Linked DNA regions of Xenopus tropicalis. The protein of the gene in region 2 interacts with the protein of the main gene of each other region in a pairwise test. Links are inferred from orthologs where the notes say so. Each region holds a gene or a part of one and is shown on either strand. Other genes may lie near its edges.

Evidence for each region.
Region 1: the proteins of gtpbp3 (region 2) and parp11 interact in binary tests that used the Homo sapiens proteins (3 or more experiments, as listed by UniProt). The two-hybrid records come from large-scale screens. The link is inferred for Xenopus tropicalis from reciprocal best matches to the Homo sapiens genes GTPBP3 and PARP11.

Annotation. Positions count from the first base shown.
Region 1 is NC_030679.2:11,768,831-11,773,097, reverse strand, and holds the start of parp11 (protein mono-ADP-ribosyltransferase PARP11), read right to left. Parts: upstream 2,810-4,267; 5' UTR 2,597-2,809; exon of another isoform or gene 2,528-2,596; intron 1-2,527. UniProt on the Homo sapiens protein: Mono-ADP-ribosyltransferase that mediates mono-ADP-ribosylation of target proteins. Plays a role in nuclear envelope stability and nuclear remodeling during spermiogenesis. Inhibits the type I interferon activated signaling pathway.
Region 2 is NC_030677.2:113,483,995-113,488,180, reverse strand, and holds the start of gtpbp3 (tRNA modification GTPase GTPBP3, mitochondrial), read right to left. Parts: upstream 2,812-4,186; 5' UTR 2,653-2,811; intron 213-2,652; 5' UTR 150-212; coding exon 94-149; intron 1-93. UniProt on the Homo sapiens protein: GTPase component of the GTPBP3-MTO1 complex that catalyzes the 5-taurinomethyluridine (taum(5)U) modification at the 34th wobble position (U34) of mitochondrial tRNAs (mt-tRNAs), which plays a role in mt-tRNA decoding and mitochondrial translation.

The DNA of each region.
Region 1 (4,267 bases), on a different chromosome or scaffold from region 2:
TATCTATCCACTCACATACAGACCCATACTGACCTATCTATCCACTCCCATACAGACCCACACTGACCTATCCATCCACTCACATACAGACCCACACTGACCTATCTATCCCCTCCCATACAGACCCACACTGACCTATCTATCCACTCACATACAGACCCATACTGACCTATCTATCCACTCACATACAGACCCACACTGACCTATCTATCCACTCCCATACAGACCCACACTGACCTATCTATCCACTCACATACAGACCCACACTGACCCATCTATCCCCTCCCATACAGACCCACACTGACCTATCTATCCACTCACATACAGACCCACACTGACCTATCTATCCACTCACATACAGACCCACACTGACCCATCTATCCCCTCCCATACAGACCCACACTGACCTATCTATCCCCTCCCATACAGACCCACACTGACCTATCTATCCCCTCCCATACAGACCCACACTGACCTATCTATCCCCTCCCATACAGACCCACACTGACCTATCTATCCCCTCCCATACAGACCCACACTGACCTATCTATCCCCTCCCATACAGACCCACACTGACCTATCTATCCCCTCCCATACAGACCCACACTGACCTATCTATCCCCTCCCATACAGACCCACACTGACCTATCTATCCCCTCCCATACAGACCCACACTGACCTATCTATCCCCTCCCATACAGACCCACACTGACCTATCTATCCCCTCCCATACAGACCCACACTGACCTATCTATCCCCTCCCATACAGACCCACACTGACCTATCTATCCCCTCCCATACAGACCCACACTGACCTATCTATCCCCTCCCATACAGACCCACACTGACCTATCTATCCCTCCATACAGACCCACACTGACCTATCTATCCACTCACATACAGACCCACACTGACCTATCTATCCACTCACATACAGACCCATACTGACCTATCTATCCACTCACATACAGACCCATACTGACCTATCTATCCCCTCCCATACAGACCCACACTGACCTATCTATCCCCTCCCATACAGACCCACACTGACCTATCTATACACTCACATACAGACCCACACTGACCTATCTATCCACTCACATACAGACCCACACTGACCTATCCACTCACATACAGACACATACTGACCTATCTATCCACTCACATACAGACCCATACTGACCTATCTATCCACTCACATACAGACCCATACTGACCCATCTATCCACTCACATACAGACCCACACTGACCCATCTATCCACTCACATACAGACCCACACTGACCCATCTATCCACTCACATACAGACACATACTGACCTATCTATCCCCTCCCATACAGACCCATACTGACCTATCTATCCACTCACATACAGACCCATACTGACCTATCTATCCACTCACATACAGACCCACACTGACCTATCTATCCCCTCCCATACAGACCCACACTGACCTATCTATCCACTCACATACAGACCCACACTGACCTATCCATCCACTCACATACAGACACATACTGACCTATCCACTCACATACAGACCCATACTGACCCATCTATCCACTCACATACAGACCCACACTGACCTATCTATCCACTCACATACAGACCCATACTGACCTATCTATCCCCTCACATACATAACTATATATACAAACATTAATACTAACTGTAGGTATTAGTATCACAATAGCCTTGGATACTATGCTTGTTCAAGAACCCATCCAGGCCCCTCTTATAGGCACTAACAGAATCTGCCATTACCCCATCACTAGGAAGGGCATTCCCCAACCTCACTGCCCTCCCCGTGAGGAACCCCCTACGCTGCTTCAAATGGAAGCTCCTTTCCTCTAATCTAAAGGGGGGACCTCTGGTGCGCTGATTGTTTTTATGGGAAAAAAGAACCCCCCCATCTGCCTATAATCCCCTCTAATGTACTTGTACAGAGTAATCATGTCCCCTCGCAAGCGCCTCTTTTCCAGAGAAAACAACCCCAACCCTGACAGTCTAACCTCATAGTTTAACCCTTCCATCCCCTTTACCAGTTTAGTTGCAGTCTCTGCACTCTCTCCAGCTCATTAATATCCTTCTTAAGGACTGGAGCCCAAAACTGCCCCCATACTCAAGGTGAGGCCTTACCAGGGACCTATAAAGCGGCAAAATTATGTTCTCATCCCTTGAGTCAATGCCCTTTTTATACAAGACAGCACTTTATTTGCTTTAGTAGCCACAGAATGACACTGCCTGGAATTAGACAACTTGTTATCAACAAAAACCCCCAGATCCTTCTCCATTAAGGATACCCCCAACACACTACCATTCAGTAGATAGTTCACGTTTATATTATTTCTACCAAAATGCATAACTTTGCACTTGTCCACATTGGACCTCATTTCCCAGTTTGCTGCCCAGTTTCCCAATTGAGCTCAGACTAGCCCAGGTGCTACCATACAGAATGGCTGGGCTGCTTTACATTAAACATCCCGTCTCTAAAATACCACACACAAATGCTCCCCCCATTCTTACAGGCACAACGTATCATTTCTTCACGGACGGTTGCCTTGGCAACTCTCGGCCCTTTCCCTCTCCGCGTACCTAAGTCTTAAAGCTCTGACTTCCGGCTCAGCTTCGAAGCTTCCGGCCTCTCACTCAGCTGGCGGACCCAAACACTGCGGAGGAAGCGAAACTTTCCCCCCCGACGAGAGAAGGGGCGGGGCTTGCGACGTCGAAGGAGAGGCGGGGTTTTAGAGTGAGTAAGACACGTCAGTGGGCGGGTCCCGAACTCTATGCTCTGCCAATCTGGACCAAGCGGAGTAGTTTGTAAACAAGTTGTGTGAATGGATTGCGTGTCTGCAGCCTGTCTGCCCCTGGCTCCTCACTCACTGCCCTGTACCTCCAGCAATAGGCAAGGGTAAGTGCTGCCCATCCTTTGGAATGTGTGGGGTGGGGGAAGAAGGGGGAGAGGTGCCCCCCATAGCTGCAAAGCTCCCCTTTTTTCACTCTTATGCTGGCACAGGGGTTTTAAAGGGGAACTCCACCCCACAAACTGCTTGTTTTTTTTATTTTTTTTCATAATGAAAGAAAAGGCAGCTTTTCTATGCTCCATGCTTGTAATGTAAAGTGCAAATGTAATTAGTGTTGATCTGTCTGGCTCTTAATATTACCTGCACTGCTGGTTGTGACCCCCTGAAATGCAACAGAAGCCGCTGCATTGCTTCACAAGTCAGAATCAAGGGGGACAGAAAGGGTTAAACGATGGCCAGAATCAAGGGGGACAGAAAGGGTTAAACGATGGCCAGAATCAAGGGGGACAGAAAGGGTTAAACGGTGGCCAGAATCAAGGGGGACAGAAAGGGTTAAACGGTGGCCAGAATCAAGGGGGACAGAAAGGGTTAAACGGTGGCCAGAATCAAGGGGGACGGAAAGGGTTAAACGATGGCCAGAATCAAGGGGGACGGAAAGGGTTAAACGATGGCCAGAATCAAGGGGGACGGAAAGGGTTAAGCGATGGCCAGAATCAAGGGGGACAGAAAAGGGTTAAACGATGGCCAGAATCAAGGGGGACAGAAAGGGTTAAACGGTGGCCAGAATCAAGGGGGACAGAAAGGGTTAAACGGTGGCCAGAATCAAGGGGGACAGAAAGGGTTAAACGATGGCCAGAATCAAGGGGGACAGAAAGGGTTAAACAGTGGCCAGAATCAAGGGGGACAGAAAGGGTTAAACGATGGCCAGACTCAAGGGGGACAGAAAGGGTTAAACGATGGCCAGAATCGAGGGGGACAGAAAGGGTTAAACGATGGCCAGAATCAAGGGGGACAGAAAGGGTTAAACGATGGCCAGAATCAAGGGGGACAGAAAGGGTTAAACGATGGCCAGAATCAAGGGGGACAGAAAGGGTTAAACGGTGGCCAGAATCAAGGGGGACAGAAAGGGTTAAACGATGGCCAGAATCAAGGGGGACAGAAAGGGTTAACGATGGCCAGAATCAAGGGGGACAGAAAAGGGTTAAACGGTGGCCAGAATCAAGGGGGACAGAAAGGGTTAAACGATGGCCAGAATCAAGGGGGACAGAAAGGGTTAAACGATGGCCAGAATCAAGGGGGACAGAAAGGGTTAAACGATGGCCAGAATCAAGGGGGACAGAAAAGGGTTAAACAGTGGCCAGAATCAAGGGGGACAGAAAGGGTTAAACGATGGCCAGAATCAAGGGGGACAGAAAGGGTTAAACGATGGCCAGAATCAAGGGGGACAGAAAGGGTTAAACGA
Region 2 (4,186 bases):
GGATTAAAAACTTTCTGGCAAACAGAGAATATATGGGGCTGTGTAAAGACCACCTGAAGCCAAGCTGAACCTATAACAGAAATATATAATTACCTGTTTTTTACTGACCTCAAAGAAACAGAAGTCAGACATGTCCTGGCAAATACCATTTCAGCCTACAAAAGACTTTCCTTATTATTAGTTTCACCGCCTTCGCTTATTAACATCATAGTCTGAAAAAACAAATAGAAATCATTACTATTCAGTATGGATGTTATGAAGCATATATATATATATATATATATATATATATAGCATGAAATATTTTTTTTCCTTTTTATCCTTGATAAAGGTCCTAATGAGGACCGAAACGTTGGTTTTTAAACAATGAGTTTTCAATAAAAAATTTTTTTGAATTTTAAGGGTGTGCCGGCCATGTATTATTTCATGCTAAATACTCAGATTTTGGCTGTGCACCCCACAGAATACTAAAAGCCTTGGAGTGCAGACACCATCAGGACTGATATATATATATATATATATATATATATATATATATATATATATATATATATTATAAATAAATAAAGAATGTCGGCACTCACAGGATTTCCACGATAAAACTCACAGGCAATAAGTCATGTTTTAGGATGCAATCAGGTGTGGTTTATTGGTCCAACGTTTCAGTTCCCTACTGGAACTTTCGTCAGGGAAGGGAACTGAAACGTTGGACCAATAAATCACACCTGATTGCATCCTAAAACATGACTTATTACCTGTGAGTTTTATCGTGGAAATCCTGTGAGTGCCGACATTCTTTATTTTTATTCTGTGCTTGCTGCTCTGGCACCCAGGTATCGCATTTAAAAGTTTGGTGTGCTCTTCATCCTGTATTTTTTATATATCTATATCTATATATATATATATATACTCATGCCACCAATTCACCTATTAAGGGTGCCTGGTCTCACACACATGCAGACAAGAAGCAGTTTGTACACAATTGCTTTGTGTTCCACTCTTCTCCACCCCTAAGTGCCATTGACTCTCAGGCATTAGCTTCAGAAATCACTAAATAAGAGATATATGGAGCACCTATGGACTGAAGACCTAGTTAATTGCTAAATGACTAGTGCCAGTTAGGGCCCCTATCCTGCATACATGTAGCATCAGTGTCAAGCAACCTGTATATATAGACAGATGTAACAATACCGGTAAGTAATATTTACCTTAAGATTAGTCCACTACTTTTCTCATGATACTCCATAATGACTTTGTTTAGTAAAAGTGTTTGCTGTTGTTGTCCATATCTTTTTTTAAACTAAATGGTTAGTTCACCTTAATATAAACTTTTAATATATATTAGTTATATAGTGGTTAGTTCACCTTAATATAAACTTTTAGTATATACAATGGTATACTGAGATAACTGGGAGTTATCTTTGTTTTAGGGTAGACCTAAGGGTAGGGTAGGCCATTGTATGGGCCCAAATGTATTAATAAATATCCTATAAATTACATCCTTAAAAATTGTGATTAGTGATGTCATTGGTAATAACTGGTGCTTAGTGAGGTAAGTGTCACAGGACTCACTAAACTTGTGTATTGTAAAAATAAGTATGTATGTATCCTCACAAGTTATGAGGACATGAGATTTGTACACTGTACAACAGCACTAGGTTTGCAGCCTTGTTCCTTTATGTGATCAAAAAGTTTAACTTCACTTAGGGGCAGATTTACTAATCCACAAATCCGAATCCTGAAAGGGAAAAAATCGTACTGGAACAAATTTTTTGCGACTTTTTCGTCGCTGTCGCGATTTTTCGTATCTTTATCGTATTTTGCACAACTATTTCGTCACCATCGCGAATTTATTGTATCGAGCGATAGTAAACGGCGGAAAAACAAATCCGATTTTTTTTCGCGACGGCGACGAAAAGTTGCGGAAAATATACGAAGAAGTCGCGACAGCAACGAAAAAATCGTGGGACATACGAAAAAGACGCAAAAATACCGATCATTACGAAAAACCGCCTTCGGACGCCTTCGGACCGTTCGTGGATTAGTAAATCTCCCCCTTAGTGCCAGCCATGGCCTTAAACAGCATCAGAAGGCTACCACTGCGTAGGGCCTCAATTTTGCAAGAGGCCAGCACTGCTTGTTTTTTTTATTTTTTTTTTTTATTATTATTAGTTAATCTTCAGTTTCTTCATTAGAGTGATCCAATCTAGCAGAATAAGTGTGCAATTCAACATGTGTGCTTTGTGCATTTGCACTGATCTGCAAAAAAAAAAGGGTGACAGCACATAATAAAGGCTGCACAAAATACTTTGATCGGATACATTGGTCTACTGTGGAAAATCGAGCATCTTTCTGGTAAAACAGTAAAAATGTTTGGTTGATGTGCAGGGTACGTCACGTTTAGCATTCCAGCAAAAAATAAAAGCAGTGTCCCAAAGGCACCTTTATTATGGGAGCACAGCTCCAAAGTCACCTTTAGAACGAGAAAAGAGTCCCGAAGGCAACTTAAGCGTTAGATAATTGCCCCAAAGGCAGCTTAGTCGGAAAACATTGAAAAGGGTATACACATCGCGGAGCATCTCTTCCAATATGTATTTGTCATACAAATATGACACGAACATATACACATTCATAATAATAATCATAGCTCACCTTGTAAATCACCAGTCTACCCAACCCCTTCTCAATCTGGCACCCCTGCCACACTATCAAACGCTGTTACTACCCACGATCAGTGTTTGCAAGTTCCCTTAGCCATGCTGCATACACAAACATGGGATTTACAACAAAGCTTCTTCCGTGTTCTGACACTCCATATATGGGGAACAATCCCAGGATGCTTTGCGAATTTAAAGCCACACGGTTGATATTTCTCTATACTAACTAAGGGAATGCTGTCATTTAACAAAAGTTAACTATACAAAAACTCAAATGATGAACTTACAGTGGAATACAGCATCTGCAACCTTATTCATATGGTGCTAGGGTGTCAAAAACTGAAATAAAAACAACTGTCTCTCTGTAGGATTTTTCTATCCCAATCATCACCTATTTGAATTGGGGCTGGAACTAGGGATAAGCAGGGTAGGCATATACCTAGGGGCACATTTACTAATCCACGAACGTCCGAAAAGCGTCCGAATGCGTTTTTTCTCGTAATGATCGGTATTTTGCGATTTTTCCGTAAATTGTCGCGACTTTTTCATAGCCGTTACGACTTTTTCGTAAATTGTCACGACTTTTTCGTAGCGTTACGACTTGCGCGAATTGTCGCGACTTTTTTGTAGCCGTCGCACCGAGTACGAAAGTTTCGGATTCATTCAAGCTTCAGTATCGTGACTTTCCTTGGGCCAGGTTGGAGCTGCAGAGTGCCATTGAGTCCTATGGGAGGCTTCCAAAATCATGCAAAGTCTGAAAGGTTTGCCCGCCATTTACGAGCGCTCAATACGAAAAAGTTGCGACAATATACGAGCAAATTGTAACGGCTACAAAAAAGTCGCGGCAATTTAAGCAAGTCGTACCGGCGACGAAAAAATCGCAAAAAATACGAAAAAGTTGCAAAATGTTCGTTTCCAATCCAAATTTTTCCCATTCGGATTCGTGGATTAGTAAATGTGCCCCCTAGGGTACTCTAGAAATGTGGTGGGGTGCTGTTCCAAATGGATGGACAGACGGACAGACAGACAGACCAGCGGGTGGGGGAGGGATGAAGTAAGCAAGCCAGTAAGTTACTGAGATTCTTTATTCATAACTTTATGTTAATATCAGAAGCCAGCCTGGTGCCCTACGCCAGTGGTCCCCAACCTTTTTTGCACCACGGCCCAGTTTCAAGCATGACAATTTTTCCAAGGCCCGAGGCTGGGGGGGGGCAACTAGTTAATAGTATATAATTTAATTATTACATATATAATGTAAATGTCATTATTACATTTTATATTAGGCACTTTATTTTTATTGTTATTGATATTATTACAATATAAAATATAATACAGCTTACCATAATACAGACTCAATGGGAGACCAGGTGGCCCGGTTCAGCACAGCCCGCGGCCCGGTGGTTGGGGACCCCTGCCCTACACAACCTGATCAGCCACTATTAATAGGGAAAAAAACATAAAAATATAGGAAGCCCATTTTTTTTTAAGAAAAAGTTGCAACCCTATAAACAAGGTGCAGGCGGCAGGGG